Danio rerio: one gene and its partner. The protein of the gene in region 1 interacts with the protein of each later gene in a pairwise test. Links are inferred from orthologs where the notes say so. Each region holds a gene or a part of one and is shown on either strand. Other genes may lie near its edges.

The links. The genes of interacting proteins can lie anywhere in the genome.
Region 2: the proteins of pex12 (region 1) and pex10 interact in a two-hybrid assay, tested with the Homo sapiens proteins (4 studies listed by BioGRID, with this or other methods). The link is inferred for Danio rerio from reciprocal best matches to the Homo sapiens genes PEX12 and PEX10.

The regions. Positions count from the first base shown.
Region 1 is NC_133180.1:67,479,569-67,490,362, reverse strand, and holds pex12 (peroxisome assembly protein 12), read left to right. Parts: upstream 1-5,304; 5' UTR 5,305-5,494; coding exon 5,495-5,620; intron 5,621-7,638; coding exon 7,639-8,174; intron 8,175-10,094; coding exon 10,095-10,485; 3' UTR 10,486-10,649; downstream 10,650-10,794. Other genes in the region: uncharacterized protein, read left to right, coding at 2,340-3,229. UniProt on the Homo sapiens protein: Component of a retrotranslocation channel required for peroxisome organization by mediating export of the PEX5 receptor from peroxisomes to the cytosol, thereby promoting PEX5 recycling.
Region 2 is NC_133183.1:57,048,003-57,058,117, reverse strand, and holds the end of pex10 (peroxisome biogenesis factor 10), read left to right. Parts: 5' UTR 1-83; coding exon 84-195; intron 196-2,243; coding exon 2,244-2,324; intron 2,325-4,069; coding exon 4,070-4,458; intron 4,459-6,650; coding exon 6,651-6,823; intron 6,824-9,171; coding exon 9,172-9,304; intron 9,305-9,397; coding exon 9,398-9,466; 3' UTR 9,467-9,807; downstream 9,808-10,115.

The DNA of each region.
Region 1 (10,794 bases):
TAAAAATGAGTGAAAACAAGTTTTTGGCATTTAAACATAAATAATAATTTTACACTGAAAATAAATGACAAAACAATGAACAAATAAATTAAAAAAGAATAAATAAAAATATTTGTCTAATGTAAATCTGAGCATCATATTTGCTAATTATTTCCCTTTTAAATTGAACAAATATAGTCAAAGGCTGCTGAACCTCTGTCTGAAAGGCACTTTTGATCGACTATAACTTGTTAGGTTTTTTCATTTTATTCTTTTTTGTCTTTGAAGTAGAAATGTGTATATTCCATACAAAGTGTGAAGCTGAACGGTCAGTTCTTGTAAGGTGAATTGCGGTGTGCTTGTGCCATTCTTTTACCTAGGTGCACCTGAAAAGCGTGAGGGTGTTGTGCCGCGTGTGCACTCCCAATATGCACGCAAGAAAAGAAATAACAAACGTGCACGTGCAAAGACATAACATGTGAACGGCCCTTAGGTAATAGCCTCACCCATAGTGAATCCAGTGTGCGTGGGTATTAGCCTCAGTATACAAACTTGGAACTTTACACTAGCGCACAGTTGGCATAAGTTGGCGCAACTTTAGTTGCAGCAGTTTGTTCTGTGTCAAAACGCGGTGTTGAGAAGCCTTTATGATTAATTAACCATGACAAATTAAATCGCAATTAATAGTGAAATCGTTCAATCATTGCCTCCCTACTTCAGGGTGGAGCTGAATATATTTACAATCTGTATGTATATCCTGTGTTTTGTGTCAGACAAGCATATGAACGGATGGCTCATGGAGTCGATGCATTGTAATGTATAAAAAACAATCTGTGTTTCTCCTTTTCAAAATAAGAGTCCCACATAAATAGTAAGTTTAATATAATCTTAGATAAACCTAAAAAGAACTAATGGAGCAAAATGGTAAATGTTGTATTACAAGGAAACCTTGAGGTGTATCAAACGCAGCCTTAGGCGTTCATAATAATAATTCCAGAGCAAATTATCAGTGTGCTTTTTGGCTGGTGATCTCCTGATAATGTGTCAGCTTTTCAGGTCCAGATGACATAGAACGTGACCTAAAGTACATGCAAATTTGGAGGTCGTGCCCCGTGAGTCACGCAACAGTCTGTTTTGTGTTCCGATTTTTCATCGAGCTTTACACTCATGGAATTTTCATGAGAACAAGAGAACAATTGTGTTTGAGACTCACTGTATGGGAATTTCTATTATTCACCTTTAAAGGGCCATGACACCCCCCACTTTCGGTTAAAGTCTACTTTAGAATTTTTTCAAAAGATGCATGATTAATGGGCGTGGAGCTCCGCAAGCATCAGGCAGGAGTGGGCGCGGCCTGCAGGGGAGAAGGGGAGCGAACAACTGTTGATGTCAGTTAGCTCACAAAATGAGACAAACCGTGAGGAGACGCATGAGTTTATAGTTTACAAAGTTAAAATGCAAAGAAAAAAACTGGAATTTAATGCCCTACTACATTTGTTATTCGTAATCTCATATACAGACAACCACAATTTATATCATTATAAAGATAATCGTGTTCATATAAACACTATAAATAAGGACTTTTCCCTCAATCCCCGGGTCTGAACCATAGATCTTAAATGCAGACTCAGTGCAGCAGGTCTCCTGACCTGCCTATTTTAACCATTAGTCCAGCTGGTAATCGGAGGATTTAGGCAAACACAGCAGCACGGCGACGTGTCTGAATGTGAATGAACTCCTGATACAAGACAACATCCGCCATTCTCCAATTCTTGTACTGCTCTCCCGACAAAAATGCTAGCATCACACACACAGCTTTGCTGTATGATCGGCCCTGACAGGATCGCGGGGAAAAACATGCAACAAACCCCGTGGATCATGGAAACAAACACATACAAGCCTTCATAAACGGCTACTGTGTGCCGTGGGTCCGTGAACCACAGCTTGAGTTTGGCACTGGTCTGGCAGGTCTGCCTCTGCCTTGCCTTCGGAAAGCACGTGCTGTCGTGCTCTCATGAATAATTAAGTAGCCGGCTCTTCTCATAGGATAAGAAACCTCCGCTATGAATAATAATGAGAAACCGACGCGTCATCATTGTACTTGCAGTACTGCGCTACGTCACCCATTTTGATCCCGCCCCAAAAATCATTTTAAACCCGGAAGCGGAAATTAGCTGACAAAAGCTCAAAATTATCCAGTTTTCCCCACAATGAAAGCTGACAGATGCTAACATTGTCTTAACTGATGCTCAACACACACAAATCTGTTAATATATAAAAAAAAAGTTCTCCAGGGTGTCCTGAACCTTTAGAAGCTTTGAACAGTATTAACTTGAATCTTTTCTTTCATTTGATTTCAGATCTAATTGAAGCGAATGAGGGGAGTGAAGAGGAGAAACAAGTCGAAGCGGTGAAAATCCCTCATTTACAGACTTGTGGTATTTTTTTTATTGAAAGGAGAGAAAAGAAATGCTTCACCTTCACTCATTGTTGGAAGAGTTTTAGGCGACCTAATAATCACATCACAATCCACAACGGAGAGAAAGCATTCACATGCGATCGATGCGGAAAGAGTTTCACACGCAAAGAAAGGCTTAAAGAACACACGAGGATCCACACTGGAGAGAAACCCTTCGCTTGTGCTCAGTGTGGGAAGAGATTCGGATGCTCATCGAACCTTAAACAGCACATGATGACTCACACTGGAGAGAAACCACACAAATGCGATCAATGCGGCAAGACATTTTTGAAGCCGTCAGATCTGATCAGCCACCTCAGAGTTCATACAAACGAGAAGCCTTATTCGTGTTCGGTGTGTGGAAAGAGTTTCACACATCAACAGTATTTAAGAAAACATCAGAAGTTCCACTCTGGGGTGAGAGAGTACGTGTGCTTCGAGTGCGAGAAGACTTTCATTAGGGTTGAAGAATTGAAACGGCACCAGAGGATTCACACTGGAGAGAAGCCTTACAAGTGTTCACACTGCGACACCAGTTTCAGTCAGATACAACACCTCAGAACACACCAGAGGATTCACACCGGAGAGAAACCTCACAAGTGTTCACACTGCGACAAGAGATTCACTCAGTTAGGAGTCCTGAAGACACACGAGAGGATTCACACCGGAGAGAAACCGTACACGTGTGATCAGTGCTTCAGGAGTTTCACATATTCATTACAGCTCAAGAAACACATGAAAATCCACACTGGAGAAATGCGGGAGATGTCGGAAGAGAGTGTTGATGGTTGAGTGTGGAAAGTCTATCCATTTGTCTTCTATTTGATTCTGTTATTATTTAAAAAAGTTTCTGAGGTCATGGGCGTTGTTAGGCCTATTTTAGGGGGGCTGTAGCCTATAATTCTATTCAGCATCTCAAAAACTCTTACGATTAGCTCATAAACTAAACACTAAATTATCGCCTGTCCCCTTTAAATTTGATATGAAAACGGTCGAAGAATCCGGCTCCTCCCCGTCTTTCGTTTTTCATTTGATCAGCAAACCACAGCTGTGCAGAGATATTATAGATACACTTGTATAACACGTACACCAATGTCATGGAGGAGCAATCGGGTTTCCCATCTACAGTTTCATCGGTGCTCACCTCATAATCACAGCTGTTTCCTCGAAAAAGTAGCATTTATTGAACATTCATTCATTCATTTTCTTGTCGGCTTAGTCGCTTTATTAATCCGGGGTCGCCACAGCGGAATGAACCGCCAACTTATCCAGCAAGTTTTTACACAGCGGATGCCCTTCCAGCCACAACCCATCTCTGGGAAACATCCACACACACATTCACACACTATGGACAATTTAGCCTACCCAATTCACCTGTACCGCATATCTTTGGACTGTGGGGGAAACTGGAGCACCCGGAGGAAACCCACGCGAAGGCAGGGAGAACATGCAAACTCCACACAGAAACGCCAACTGAGCCGAGGTTTGATCCTGCGACCTTCTTGCTGTGAGGCAACAGCACTACCTACTGCGCTACTGCCTCGCCTCATATCGAACATTTCGCTATTTAAATTTCAAAATGAACTACCAAAATAAAACACATTAAAGTGCCTGTGGCATTAACTATACCATACAGTCTTGCTCAGAAAGGATTAAACACAGTGACAGAACCACTTAGTGAATGTACTCATTTAAACTGCCAGAGTCACTGTTAGAGATGGAAACATCAAGTGTTGTGGTATTTTAAAAAAGCCTTATTTATTATGAATCAGATCATGAAATGTGTGAATTAGCCTGTAGTTTTAATGTTTATATATGTTTAAATTCACAGTTTAATTAGAAAAGTGGCTGTTTTGATTTTTTTTAAACATGGAAGCAAAAAATGTACTTGATTATAGAAAGTGGTTTTTACTACAGTAAACAGGTGTTTTAAGCCTATTTGGCTCATTCACAACTCAAACGGCTATCTAAACATAATAGTTATAATAACTCATTTCTAATAACTGATTTATTTTATCTTTGCCATGATGACAGTAAATAATGTTTTGCTAGATATTTTTCAAGACACTTCTACAGCTTAAAGTGACTTAAAGGCTTAACTAGGTTAATAAGGTTAACTAGGCAGGCTAGGGTTATTTGGCAAGTTATTGTATTAAGATGGTTTGTTCTGTAGACTATCGAAAAAATATAGCTTAAAGGGGCTAATTATTTTGACCTTAAAATGGTTCATAAAAAATTAAAAAACTGCTTTTATTCTAGCCGAAATAAAACAAATAAGACTTTCTCCAGAAGAAAAAATATTATCAGACATGCTGTGAAAATTTCTTTGCTCTGTTAAACATAATTTGGGAAATATTTAAAAAAGAAAAAAAAATTCAAACAGGGTTTAATAGTACTGATTGCAACGTTATGCATGTATGTATGCATGTATGTATACACACACAATTTAGTTTATCCAATTCAACTATACCCGCATGTCTTTGGACTGTGGGGGAAACCGGAGCACCCAGAGGAAACACACACAAGTTTGAGGAGAACATGCAAACTCCACACAGAATTGCCAATTGACCCAGCAGGGGCTCAAACCAGCGGCTTTCTTGCCGTGAGGCGATCGTGCACCCCACTGCGCCGCTGTGACGCCACAGGTTGATATATGCAAGTGATTCATTTGATTCATCTTTAAAGGATTTATTCATATGATTCCTTTGGTTCCTTTTTATCTAAATTCAATTGTCCTATAAAATGTAAAACTCTACGAAATACACACACAGATTGTAGGTCTACAGTAGATTATCATGAACCCTCCAGCACAGCAGGTGTCAGTACAAACCCGTTTTATTGATGTTAAAGCCCCAAGAAGAAAACGCGTCTGACAGGGAAAAAAAAGTGTTGCGACAGATGATGACCGTTGACCAGTGCGTTGATTTCCAGCACTGTAACTCTCCTGAATTATTTTGTTTGGTAAAATGAGCACCATTGTCCTCATTAAAAGGCTCGACTGACGTACCTGTAGGAAGGCGTTATTGTTGTTTGCAGTAGTTTTCCTCATCAGGTGTGATGGCGGAGCGAGGAGCTCATTTAACCACAGCTGCCCCGGCTGAAGATCGACCCTCAGTGTTTGAGGTTTTAGCGCAGGACTCTTTAATGACCGCTGTCAAACCCGCTTTACTGCATGCTGTCAAGGTATGCTCGCTTTTTCATCATACTGTACTCCTGCATTTGTACTCCTTGAGTTTTGGACTGTGACGATAAATAGCGCATGGATAAAATAAATAGTCCATTTTCCCATATTATGCTCCATCGTTTACTTTGTGGCTTCTTTTTTACGGTAAAACTATCAGAATTTATGTAGGCGCATTATTACACGCCATTACGGGGATGCTGACTGAAACATCAATGACAGCATCGTGAGGAAGTTGCAATCAAATACAGTGTTTAGCAATGAGGCGAAAACAGTAAGATCAATATGAAACTACGTAAAGCGTCATTAGGAGGTAAAGCAAAAAATTGCTATTATTGGGCAGGGTTTCACAGGAATATAAGGATCCCTAGATAGTATGTCAAAGAAAGAAGATCAAAAGGAACTCAATTTAGGGCAGGTGTAAAATGTGCCTGTCTGGTTTCTTCATAAAGACTATGAGTACACTTGTAAAACACTAGTGTAATAAATGTGTCCAAAACATTATTTGGAATGTATTTCCTTTGTATTATTAATAATAATCTATTTAAAATATTACTTGTAGAATGATTCCTTTCTATTAAGGTAAAGTACAGTAAATGTATTATTTATACGTGTATATTAATTACATATATACAGTTCTCAGCATATATGAGTGCACACCTCACAGATCTCTCAGTTAAATTCACATTTTCAATAGGATGCTTTACAATATTTGTGCAAATATATTAGATTAGTCAGTTCTGAAGCCAAATTTGGAGCTAATCTAACAAAAAACTTATTACAGTCCAAAATTGGTACATACAAATGTATGTTTGGGAAAAACCATTAAATAAAGATAAAAAAGAGAAAAAATCAAGAGAAACAAAAAAATCTATAATATTTTGTTAAAATTTTGTAATTTGTTTATATTTTCTGCAATATGTCCCATAAATAATGTATCGTCCTTCCATTTCTAAAGATGTTCGATGACTAAAGCATTATTTCAATAAACATATCGGTTATGTACCAAAATATATGACCGTTATTCTCTTAAAAATGGATTAAAATATTAATTTTGCAAATGGGGTGTACTCATTTATGTTGAGCATGATGTATATATATATGTGTGTATGTATATATATATATATAGTGTACGTGAGTGCTGTAAAGGTATCAAAATGTAAAATTGTGTCGTAAAATCTAAGGTCTGCTGCAATTAACACTATTGGTGTGTCTAGCGTAATAACCCCAGGGGTCCCAATCCAATGGAAAAAGAATTAAAAGGCTAGAGCCTTTTTTTTGCATGTTGTTATTTTATGCAACTCATTCATTTTCTTGTCGGCTTAGTCCCTTTATTAATCCGGTGTCGCCACAGCGGAAGGAACCTCCAACTTATCCAGCAAGTTTTTACGCAGCGGATGCCCTTCCAGCCGCAACCCATCTCTGGGAAACATCCACACACACATTCACACACACACTCATACACTAAGGACAATTTAGTCTACCCAGTTTACCTGTATCGCATGTCTTTGGACTGTGGGGGAAACCGGAGCACCCGGAGGAAACCCGCGGGTTTTGCAGGGAAAACGCAGGGAAAACATGCAAACTCCACACAGAAACGCCAACTGAGCTGAGGCTCGACCCAGCGACCTTCTAGCTGTGAGGCGACAGCACTACCTACTGCACTACTTCTTCGATTTGATGCAACTAATAAATACTGTTTTTATCTTCTGTAGGTTATGGCTAAAATATGGTTATTCTAATAGTTTAATAACATATATGATATTTTTGGAAATCACCAAGCAACCCCTCCTCATTGTCTCATGACCCCCACTTTGGGAACCACTGGTGTATACTGCTAGCTCCAAGTAAAGCCAGCAGGCATAAGTCTCATTTAAAGAGATGGTATCAGATTGGTTTATGGTTTCACAGATGCCAGAATTTTTGCAGTATCAGCAAGTATTCCTGATACTAGTATCGGTATCGGAACAACCCTAAAAATATCCTTAAAAAATGTAACTACCGTATTTACATTCCACAGATTCTCGCTACATCTAACCCTGCCCGCTATGGAGTTCTCTGGAGGAGGTTTGATGAGATTTACGTAATCCTGGATATGTTATTGCAGCATCACTTCCTGTCCCGCACCAGCGCCTCATTTTCAGAGAACTTCTATGGCCTGAAGCGTGTGGGATCACATAGTGCCCGTGCTGCCCATTTGGGACTGCGGCGGAGGCAACACTGGCGCTCTTTACTCCTGCTGGCCCTCATTCCATACCTGCACACCAAACTGGAGAAAATCCTGGCGCGACAGAGAGACGAGGACGATTTCTCCATCCGCTTGCCGCAGTCCTTCCTGCAGAAGATGTACAGGGCGTTTTTGGCTGCGTATCCTTTCGTGTGCATGGCGTGGGACGGCTGGGTCTTCTGCCAACAGCTTTTGTACGTTTTCGGCAAAACACGGACACATTCTCCACTTCTGTGGCTTGCCGGGGTTAAACTGTCATATCTCACGGCTAATGACATACACAGTCTGGATCTCAAGCCTTCAGGCCCAGAATTGAGCTCCGGTCAAAGGTGAGTTTATTTAGTGCTTTAATTTGCAAACTATATTGCTGGGTTCATACAGCCATGGAAAACCTGGAAAAGTCATTTTGACATGGCATTTTCCAGAAAAGTGCTGAAAAATCAGGAAAAAAAACACTAAATTTAGGAAAAGTCATGGAATTCTGAGATGGCATTTCACAGAAAAGTTTTGGAAAATCAGTAAAACCCACAAAGTTTTGGAAAACTCATGTAAATATTTTTAACTAATATCTGTATATTGAATATAGGTTAGTTGTCTTCTTTTTCTGTCCCTGGGCAATCCCATACTCTAATATTCTTAGTGCTGCGTATACATTATCTATATAGAAAAATAAATGTAAACTAAATAGATTTTTGCCAGGGCAAGGTACTGTCTCGCAGCGCTCAACCTGAAAGTGAAAACTCTAGTGACCAGTTCATGAACTAGGGCCCTCACTGTTCTGGCACCCTAGGCAGCCACCTAGGTCACCTCCATGGACGCGCCGGCCCTAATTTTTGCATTTTGTTTGTTATGCTGTTATCAATTCGAACGTGCATTGTTTTTCTTATTATTTACCAAGTATACTTAAGACATTATATAAAACTTTAGGTCAAGACAATTTACTTGAAAGTCCATTAGAAAGAAATGAGACGTATTTATGTGTTCACGTCAAATTAAATTCTCAAGCGATTTTATATACATACAAAGCATATTAAAGTTTGACGTTTCAAATAACCGTTGTTGCAATAAAATGAAAAAATATTGTGGACATATTGTTCAGCTGTCATTCATCATAACATTTACACAAAAATTAAAAGATAAACTTATTTTGACCTGTACTTCTTAAAGCATGTAATATAATAAGTATGGCACAGTAAAGCCTGGTTTATACTTCTGCGTTAAGTGATCGGCGTGACCCATGGCGCATGCAACGCACGTAGCCATGCATTTATACTTCTGAGCGCTGTTTCTGTTGTTCTACAATAACACTTCCGATACACTAGTTGGCAGTGAAGTGTAAATGTTCCTCCGGTCGAGTCTCTTCGCTAGTGTTTTTTTTTAATGCTTCCTTAATGTACAAGTGGTTCAAACTCGCTCATTTTGAGGCAGGAACCGGCGGACGTGCAACAACTTTAACCATAAGGTAAACACAACAAAACTTTTCATCTGAAGCTCCTTCACGGGACTGGACACTTGTAAACAGTCGCTCCAACAGACTCACGCGGTTCTCGGTCCCACCCATACTCGTCAGTACTTCCAAGCTGACCAATCACAGAGCTTGCGCTATGCGCTGCTGCGACGTGTAGTTCGATTTTTTGAGAGGTGCAAAACAGCAACGCCGACAGCCACGGCGAGGGCTGTGCGTCCATGTGTAGGCTGCCCCATAGCATACGCATGTGCTTGACGCAGAAGTGTAAATCAGCCTTAAATTTTAATATATTTTAAATGATTAAAAACCTTTTCTTTGTGAGTATTTTTAGAGTATTTTAATATGTCATCTTGGTCCAAATTTGCAGGATTTTTTTGTCTATAAACTACTGTTACATTAAATAGCATTTAGTAGGTGCCCTCTGTAAATGAAGGTAAAAGTACACAAACTAGACACTCTAACCATTCACTTCCGCATTTGGAATGCCGATTTGATGGCTTTCATAGCAATTCTTTTAACCATGCCCCTCTTACCATTAGTTTGTTATGAGGGAATGATGTGCATAAAGAAAGCCCCGCCCCCTACTCAATATCTCACTTCAGTTGGAAGTACATTAACATGCTAAAGTCTCAGCAACTTCAGTTTCTCACAAGCATTAATTTATTTGATGCTTGAAATACATCCATTAATTAATAAATTAATCATTTTTAGTACCTTTACGTTTTTTTGCACATCAAAATATAAAGCTGTGTACTTAAACTAAATCCTATCCTGTTTGCAGCTTTGGAGAGAAATTACAGCGAGTGGTCTCGACGGCGGTCGGTGGTGTGGCGGTGTCTCTGTCCACCAGCTTGTCGATTGGCGTGTTTTTCCTGCAGTTCCTGGAATGGTGGTATTCGTCGGAAAACCAGAGCACCGTGAAGTCCTTGACCTCCCTCCCGACACCTCCTCCCCCCCTCCACCTTCACAGCCAGGAGACGTCTCACACACACATCAAAGTGTGTCCGATCTGCAGGAAAGTGCGCACCAATGACACCGCGCTGGCCACGTCCGGCTACGTGTTCTGTTACAGGTGTATATACGTGTACGTGAAAGCCAACCACAGGTGTCCCCTCACCGGCTACCCTTCAGAACTGCAGCACCTCATTAAAATATACACCCCTGACGGATAGACTGGTCATATTTCAAGATGCCCTTATGTGAATGCCCGAATTTATATAAATATTGCAAAGTGTTCAGATAACTGCTATTTCAAATGTGACCAAAATCTAAATCTGTAATGTGGTTTGAATAGACTACTAATTTATAAATAGTAATAAATTTGTACAGAAATCAATGTTGCTGACTCTTATTTAATGTAATGTGTGTATTTACAAAGTGTATTTATCGTGTATGGCCATACACCCAAGCGCTTTACTATCATGAGAGGGGGAGGTCTCCACACCACCACCAGTGTGCAGCATCCACTCGGATCATGCAAC
Region 2 (10,115 bases), on another chromosome or scaffold:
ATATTTTGCAAAATGAAAAACATAAACTGCTAGCACATACACGTGCCCTCTAAGGAGCTGTTGAAAGTTTTACGAACGGAGCGATGCCTCTTGTTCCTGCGAACCAGCCGCAGCTGATCCGCTCCTGTCAGAAGGATGAATACTACCAGAACAACCTGACAAACAACGCCAATGAGCTCTTCCACACCTTTGCTGGTAAAACACTCCCAGGCACACTAATATTATGTTTTCAAGTTGGTTATAGGGCAAAATTTTGTATTTATGGTCTCTGGCTTATTGTTTAGCTAGCAATTAAAGTTACATCTGTTTTGACTCGCTGGACCATGTGCACTTGGAAAGAGTATCACAAATTTGGATGTTTATTTCTTAATTTGATATTATAACTATGGTATTAGGTGACCAACTTTGACAGTAAAGTTTCAATAAACAGTAAATGTGACCCAATCGACCACAGAATGTGTCTTTAGGGTCAACATTGTATTCTATATAGTAAGTACAACATTGTTGACAATCAAATATATAGTGCTAATGTTGTTTTGAAGTCATACTTGCATGTGATTTGTGGACTGAATATTCAAAGTACCATGGTAAACAATATAGGAAGCATGCGACAAGTTGTCAATGAATGAATATGTGACTATTAAACCAACTTTACCTTAATATATTTAAAGTATAATATAGAGACCTTCCAACTGTTCAAAAATGAACAAATGTGTGAATATTAAACCAAATGTATGTCAATTACTTCTGTTTTGAATCGCTGGTATGTGTGCACTTGGAAAGAGTAGCATAAAATTGGATGTTTATTTGTTAATTTGATATTATAACCATGATATTAGGTGACCGACTTTGACAGTAAAGTTTCAATAAACAGTAAATGTGACCCTGGACCACAGAGTAAGTCTTTAGGGTCTTTTTAGTATCTGGACACTATTGAGGCAAAGTTGCTTTTTTTTTAGTGGCACATTCAGACTTTTTTCTTAATAATATAATTTCAGAAAATTATTATTTGCTATTTCTATGTTTAGAAATCATATTTGCAGTCAATGAGTAATAAAGTACAACATTGTTGACAGGCAAATAAATAGTGCTAATGTTGTTTTGAAGTCATACTTGTATGTAATTTTGGACCGAATATTTAAAGTACCATGATAAACAATATAGGGAGCATGTTACAAGTTGTCAGTGAATGAATATGTGAATATAAAACCAATTTTACCTCAATTACATCTGTTTTGACCTCAATAAATGCATGATTAATTAGTTTGCCATTTAGAGGTCATATTGGGAGTAAAGAGTTTTTGTACCTTATTAATGTATTTTTTTATTTTAAAGTGTAGTAATTCATTCATTCATTCATTTTCTTTTTGGCTTAGTCCCTTTATTAATCAGGGGTTGCTACAGCAGAATGAATCACCAACTTATCCAGCATATGATTTTATGCAGCGGATTGCCTTCAAGCTGCAATCCAACACTGGGAAACACCCATACACACTCTTTCTCACAAAGTGGGGTATTTAGCTTATTCAATTCACCTATAGCGCATATTTTTGGACTGGGGGAAACCGGCGCTCCTGGAGAAAACCCATGCCAAAACATTAATAATAATAATAAAAATAATAATAAAAATAGTACTAAAACTACACTAAAATGCTTACTTCATTCATTCATTTATTTTCTTTTGGCTTAGTTTCTTATTTGCCAGAGGGCACCACAGCGTAATGATCGCAGCGGATGTCCTTCCAGCTGCTACCCAGAACTAGAAATCGTCAGCTTTATACTACCATCATAAGTTTTGAATACTTCAGCTCATCCATGGCATGAAGATGATTTGTGTAGGCGCAAACACAATATTAATTCATTTTCCACTGCACCATGACTTTAAATTTTATACTGTACACTACTTACACTATCTGTTAAGTGACAGGACTTTTGTCTAAGCAAAGTCAGACCTTACTGTCCTAATTAAATCATTAAAAATCAAGGCATGATCATATTTTATTTTGGTAAAATAAGTGTAATCTAGAGGCCTTTGCCTTTCATATTAGCCACTTCTGATACCAAATGATCAACTAGAAGTCTAGTTATCACTTGTAGTTCTCAAAACTTGGATAGGCAACAAGACTTTTGTCAGGTAGTCTATATAGTGAGTACATTTTTATTTTGGGGCAACTATCCCTTCAGTCACCATTTTTTTTTTAAAGAGCTATTTCTTCAAACCTTTCCTTTTTTGTTTCCTCAAGGTTCCAGACGTTGGCTTCAGTGGAGAAAGGAAATTGAATTATTATCTGATCTGACCTACTATATCCTAACAACTTTATCAGGTACTGTAAGTTGTGATTTTTTAATTGTTGTTTTGCATTGTATTGTTTTGTATGTTACAGCCTTATTCCAAAATGGATTAAATTCATGTATTTCCTCGATTCTACACACAATACCCCATAATGGAAATGTGAAAAAATAGTTTTTTAAATTGTTGCAAATTTATCACAGATAAAAACCCTGAAAAATCACATGTACAGAAGTATTCACAGCTGTGAAGCGCCAAAATAAGCTCAGGTACATTCTTTTTGCACTGATCATTCTTGAGATGTTTCAGCAGCTTAATTGGAGTTCACCTGTGATAAATTCAGTTGATTGGACTTGATTTGAAAAGGCATACACCTGTCTATATAAGGTCCCAGGGTTGACAGTGCATGTCAAAGCACAAACCAAGCTGAAGATAAAGGAATTATCTGTAGACCTCCGAAAAAGAATTGTCTCAAGGCAGAAGGCAGGGGAAGGTTACAGAAAAATTTCTGCTTCTCTGAAAGTTCCAATGAGCACAGTGGCCTCCCATCATCCGTAAGTGGAAGAAGTTTGGAACCACCAGGACTCTTCTTAGAGCTGGCCGGCCATCTAAGCTAAGTGATCAGGGGAGAAGAGCCTTAGTCAGGGAGGTGATCAATAACCCGATGGTCACTCTGTCTGAGCTCCAGCGTTCTTCTGTGGAGAGAGGAGAACCTTACAGAAGGACAACTATCTGTGCAGCAATCCACCAATCAGACCTGTATGATAGAGTGGCCAGATGGAAACCACTCCCTGCCTGGAATTTGCCAAAAGGCATCTGAAGGACTCTCAAACTATAAGAAACAATATTCTCTGGTCTGATGAGACTAAAATTGAACTCTTTGGAGTGAATGCCAGGTGTTACGTTTGGAGAAAACCAGGCACCGCTCATCACCAGGCTAACACCATCCCTACAGTGAAGCATGGTGGTGGCAGCATCATGCTGTGGGGATGTTTTTCAGCAGCAGGAACTGGAAGACCAGTCAGGTTAGAGGGAAAGATGAATGCAGCAATGTACAGAGACATCCTGAATGAAAACCTGCTTCAGAGTGCTCTTGACTGGGGTGATAGTTTATCTTCCAGCAGGACAATGACCCAAAGCACACCGCCAAAGTATCAATGGAGTCACTTCACAACAACTCAGTGATTGTTTTTGGGTGGCCCAGCCAGAGTCCAGACCCAAATCCTATTGTACGTTTATGGAGAGATCTGAAAAGGGCTGTACACCGTTGCTTCCCATCCAACCTGATAGAGCTTAAGAGGTACTGCAAAGAGGAATGGGCAAAAATTCCCAAAGACAGGTGTGCCAAGCTTGTGGCATCATATTCAAAAATACTTGAGGCTGTAATTTCTGGCAAAGGTGCATCAGCAAAGTATTGAGCAAAGGCTGTGAATACTGATGTACATGAGATTTTTCAAGTTTTTTATTTTTAATAAATGTGCAACAATTTCAATTTCCTTTTTTTCACATTGTCATTATGGGATATTGTGTGTAGAACTTTGAGAAAATAAATAAATTTAATCCATTTTGGAATAAGGCTGTAACAAAAAATGTGGAAAAAGTGAAGCGCTATGATACTTTCCGGATGTACTCTAGATTAACTGAGAAATTGATAAAAATATGCATTTTCAATATGGGGTGTACTCATTTATGTTGAGCACTGGATATTGCAGAATAACAACAGTTTTTACAATATCGTGCTCTCCTAATAGCATCTATATTGTTGTCCGTTTCATTCAGGATATCAGACTCTGGGTGAGGAGTACGTCAGCATCATCCAGGTGGACCCAAGCAAAAGGCGAATCCCTTCACGAATCCGCCGGACGGCACTTATCTGCTTTCACACGTTTGTGCCTTATCTTTTAGACAAGGTCTTAATCTGTGTTGAGAATGAGCTGGAAGCTGAAGCACCTCAGAACACACGCAGAACCTGGAACCCGTTATCACACATGCGGTTCTGGATCCAGAGAGCTGTGGGGCTGCTTACGGAGTCTCAGAGGAAGTCTTTGATTCCGCTTGTGTTTGCCCTGCAGCAGGGAATCACACTGCTGTACAGGCTACATGTGGCGCTCTTTTACACCACTGGAGCCTTTTACCACATTGCTAAAAGAGCTGCAGGTGTTCGTTATGTAAGTGTCTGTTCTTTTATTATTCAAATTTTTCAACCGGGGAGTAAGATAATAATTTATTATCTCACATGCTGTATTAAAGGGACAGTTCACCCAAAAATTTACATTTTTTCTTTATTTACTTGTTCCAAGACTATTTGAGTTTTCTCTGTTGAACACAAGAGAGATATTTTGAAAAAATGTTGGAAACCTGTAACTATTGACTTCCATAATAGGAAAAAAATGCTATGCAAGTAAAGAGTTACAGATTTCCAATGTGTAAGATATTTGAATAGTTAATGTCCATTAAGATAAATAACTAGCTTTAGCCTCAGACATCACCATCAACCACGGGTAAATAAAAAAAATTGGTTAAAGTCCATTCTGCAATATTTTGAAGAATGTTGGAAACCTGCAACCATTGACTTCAATAGAAGAAAAACAAATGCTACGAAAGTCAGTGCTTACAGCTTTGCAGCTTTCTTTAAAATGTCTTCATTTGTGTTCAAAAGTAGAAAGAAACCACTTCAGGGTGAGAAAATAGTGAGCAAATCTGGGTAAACTATCACTTTAAAGTGTGTTATTTTACCTTAATTATTGTAATGTGGAAGCAAGATATTTGAATAGTTAATATCTTTTAAGGTAAATAACTAGCCTTAGCATCAGACATGACAATCAACCTCTGGTTGAAGGTATGATTTATTCACACGAAAAAAAAAATATCCAAGTTTTAAATTTTTATTATCTGATTGGTTGCGATCTGTGAGATTTGTGTTAGTTATTTAGTGCAAAAAAGATATTTTGAATATATATGTCATTGAATATATTTATATATATATATATATATATATATATAATTTTTTTACTGTTTTTACTTTCTTTTTAAGATTTTACCGTTTTTACTGTATAGTCTTTTAACGATTTTACTGTGTTTTTAGAATTTTATTGTCTTTACTTTATCGTATTTTTAGGATTTTACTGTTTTTATCGTCTTTTTACAATTTTATCGTCTTTATTGTCTTTTTAGGATTTTACCGTCTTTACTTTATCGTCTTTTTATGATTTTACTGTCTTTATCGTCTTTTTACGATTTTATCGTCTTTACTTTATCATCTTTTTACGATTTTACCGTCTTTATCTTTTTTTTTACAATTTTATTGTCTTTACTTTATCGTCTTTTTACAATTTTACCGTCTTCATCATCTTTTTATGATTTTATCGTCTTTACTTTATTGTCTTTTTACGATTTTACCATCTTTATCGTCTTTTTACTATTTTATCGTCTTTACTTTATCATCTTTTTACGATTTTACCGTCTTTATCATCTTTTTATGATTTTATGGTCTTTACTTTGTCTTTTTACGATTTTACCGTCTTTATCTTTTTTTTACGATTTTATCGTCTTTACTTTATCGTCTTTTTATGATTTTACCGTCTGTTTTGTCTTTTTATGATTTTACCATATTTACTTTATCGTCTTTTTACGATTTTACCGTCTTCATAGTCTTTTTACGATTTTAGTGTCTTTACTTTTTTTGACAGCAGCATGTCAGTACAATTATAAAAGAAAATTTGCACAAAATGTTTACTTTAGTGCATCGCGTCATCAGCTGCTAAAAAATCTATTCAATTTGGTGCAGAACTAGAGAAAGAGGTGCGTGGTGCTTGCAGAGTGCAGTGGTCTCAAACCCTTGAGCCACAGACCGGCACCGGTCTATAGATCAGTTGGTAAGCGGTCGCACATAAAAATCATTAATTATTTTCCTTTTATTTATAGTCTTAGTCTGAACGATTATTTATTTTGAAAAATGACCATATTCTCTTGTTACATCTCGGTCACTTGAGTGCCAAAATTTAACCCACAGGCTAGCAAAATTAGTAAGAACTGCAGCACGACGCGCTTACATATTCCAGGGGTCCCCAGTTGAAAACATCTTAACTTTTTCAGGATGCTGCACCTCGAGTCACGTGACAAGAACCGACTGATCAGCTTCAAATTTTGTACGGAATATGATTTTGTTGAATGAATATGACTCTGCCTCGTCTTCGAACCGTGCTGTGCTGTAGATGCTTAATTTGGCCAACTGTTTATTATGGTGGTAGTTGGAGAGACAATTTTTTCTGAGGTGGTACTTGGTGAAAAAAGTTTGAGAACCACTGGTTTAGAGATTTAAATTGTCTACTCTGCGTAACTGTGAGTATGTTTTGTTTAGCTAAGAGTGGGAAATGCGTCCGGCGATGACCCCAGGATCAGTCACAGTTACCGTCTGCTGGGTGGCCTGTCTGTTCTCCAGCTGGCCATCACTCTCACACTGCAGTTCAACAACCTCAGGCAACGACAAAGAGCTCGGCATGAATGGAAACAGCACAGAAACCTTCTCCCCAGGTGTACAGCTCTGCACATAAAGCACTGCATGTTGTCTGATGATTCAACCTTTCATATTCCTACAGTTTTTTTATTAACTGTAAAAAATGCTTGGTTCCACACAATTTATTTATGTTGTCCCAAAACAAATCGATTAAGTTAACAAAAAAAACATCAAACTAAAACTGATAAATGTGATAATACTTTTCAGTTATGGACTTAAGCAAATATACAGTGCATACGGAAAGTATTCATAGCGCATTTCCACATTTTTTTGAAGTTACAGCCTTATTCCAAAATGGATTAAATTAATTTATTTCCTCAAAATTCTACACGCAATACCCCATAATGACAATGTGAAAAAATATTTTTTTAATTGTTGCAAATTTATTTTAAAATAAAAAACCTGAAAAAAAAATCACATGTACAGAAGTATTAACAGCCTTTGCCGTGAAGCTCTAAATTGAGCTCAGGTACATTCTTTTTGCACTGATCATTCTTGAGATGTTGCAGCAGCTTAATTGGAGTTCACCTGTGGTAAATTCAGTTGATTGGACATGATTTGAAAAGGCATACACCTGTCTATATCAGGTCCCTGGGTTGACAGTGCATGTCAAAGCACAAACCAAGCATGAAGACAAAGGAATTGTCTGTAGACCTCCGAAAAAGGATTGTCTCGAGGCACAAGGCAGGGGAAGGTTACAGAAAAATTTCTGCTTCTCTGAAAGTTCCAATGAGCACAGTGGCCTCTATCATCTGTAAGTGGAAAATGTTTGGAACCACCAGGACTCTTCGTAGAGCTGGCCGGCCATCTAAGCTGAGTGATCGGGGAGAATAGCCTTAATCAGGGAGGTGATCGATAACCCAATGAAAGGGTTGGGTATCGTTTTTTTTTTACGTTTTTTTTTTTCGATACCGGTGCTAAATCGATACTTTTAAAATGATACCGGTGCCTGAACCGATACTTTTGAGCCACAAAATTAGGGTGGATGACTCTAGAAAAATCTTTTATTTAACAAAATCTTTAAAAAAAAATCTTTTATCAGAACAATATAATTTAGACATGCTCCAACTCTACCTGTTTTTAAAAAGCGTTTGAAACACCATCTTTGTTCTTTAGTATTTGAGCCTTTTTAATGTTGAGGGATTTGCCTTATGTTTTAATTGTTATTTATGTGATGTAGATTTCATGTTTAGTATTGATTGTGTTCAGCACTTTGGCCAACGTTGTGTTGTAAAAAATGTGCTATATAAACAAACTAAACTAAACTAATTAAAGTTTTAAGTAAACATCAATTCAAATTTTATATATTTAAATTACATTAATATATTGTCTTTGATGGAGTGAATGCCAGGCGTTACGTCCGGAGAAAACCAGACACCGCTCATCACCAGGCTAACATCATCCTTACAGTGAAGCATGGTGGTGGCAGCATCATGCTATGGGGATGTTTTACAGCAGCAGGAACTGGAAGACTAGTCAGGATAGAGGGAAAGATGAATGCAGCAATGTACATCCTGAATGAAAACCTGCTCTTGACTTCAGACTGGGTCGACGGTTCAACTTCCAGCAGGGCAATGACCCAAAGCACACCGCCAAAATATCAATGGAGTGGCTTCACAACAACTTGGTGAATGTCCTTGAGTGGCCCAGCCAGAGCCCAGATCTAAATCCTATTGAGCATCTCTGGAGAGACCTGCAAATATCTGTACACTGTCGCTTCCTATCCAACCTGATAGAGCTTGAGAGGTACAGGAATGGGCAAAAATTCCCAAAGACAGGTGTGCCAAGCTTGTGGCGTCTTATCCAAAAAGACTTGAGGCTGTTATTGCTGCCAAAGGTGCATCAACAAAGTATTGAGCAAAGGCTGTGAACACTGATGTACATGTGATTTGTATATATATATATATATATATATATATATATATATATATATATATATATATATATATATATATTTATTTATTTATTTATTTATAAATTTGCAACAATTTCAAAAAATCTTTTTTCTTTTTTCTCATTTTCATTATGGGGTATTGTGTGTAGAATTTTAAGGTAACAAATGAATTTAATCAATTTTGGAATAAAGCTGTAATATAAACAAATGTGGAAAAAGTGAAGTGCTATAAATAATTTCCCTGAAGTGCTATGAATAATTTCCGGATGCACTGTATATATGATCAAATTTTTTTCTTCCTTCTGTTATTGTGTGTTTTTATTTTCCAGCCAATCAGAATCTATATTTTTTTCATCTTCTTTTTTAATTACTGACCATTGTATTTTTTTATCATCTTTTCTGAAGTCCTTAAATGAATCGTTTGTTATTTAATGCTTTCTCTCGTTACTCATTCGCCGTTTTTCTCTTCAGTCATCAGGTCAGTCAGTCGTCGTCTCGCACTTCACGCTGTATCTTGTGTTTGGAGGAGCGCAGAAACACCACCAGCACTCCCTGCGGCCATCTTTTCTGCTGGGAGTGCATTACCGAGTGGTGCAATACCAAGGCAAGACCTTCATATAGCTGTGAAGTGATGCTGTGAAGTTTAACATTACCGATGTCTGATCAGTTTTTTTTTTCTTGGTTTCTTTCATCGTAGAATGAATGCCCGCTGTGTCGAGAGAAATTCCAGCCTCACAGATTGGTTTATTTGAGAAGCTACAAGTAGACCTTGAGGTGATCGTGATGGAAATTTGACTCTGTTGCTTTTTCACATTCTCTCAGGGATTGCAAAACAGACAGTAATTTAAGGATTTCATGATTTGGGAATTATTAAGTGTATTGTTTTGTGCAAAACAAGACACTTTTACACATTTCAATCTGATACATTTTCTTTTAATTATGTTTAATTTTGTAATTATGCAGATGTTTACTGTAAAAAAAAAATGCACACATTTTCTTCAACACAATTGTTTCATGTTGTCTCAATGCAAATCAATAACACCATCTTAATCCTTCTTACAATTTTAAGTTGATTGAATATAAAAACATTTAAGTTGTCCCTAAAAACGCACTGTGAACTGTATTGTTTCAAACTAAAAAAAAACTGTGTGCTGTGTTCTGTTGGGGATGTTTTCATTCCCTCTGGGGTGATTTTGTGTCTTAATTTGGCCACAACTTTCTCTCCGTTTTAGCAAATGGAATTATTTTTGCAAAGCCATGAAACCAAATAATCATGCATTCTTGGTTGTTGCCGTTTTTATCTTTTGGGAAGTGGTAAATTATATACTTTTTTATAATTAGTTTTTCGGAGGTTTTCACTTTTTATTGGGACAGGATAGTGGCAGGGTTAATAGTGCCAACCAATGGACAACAGT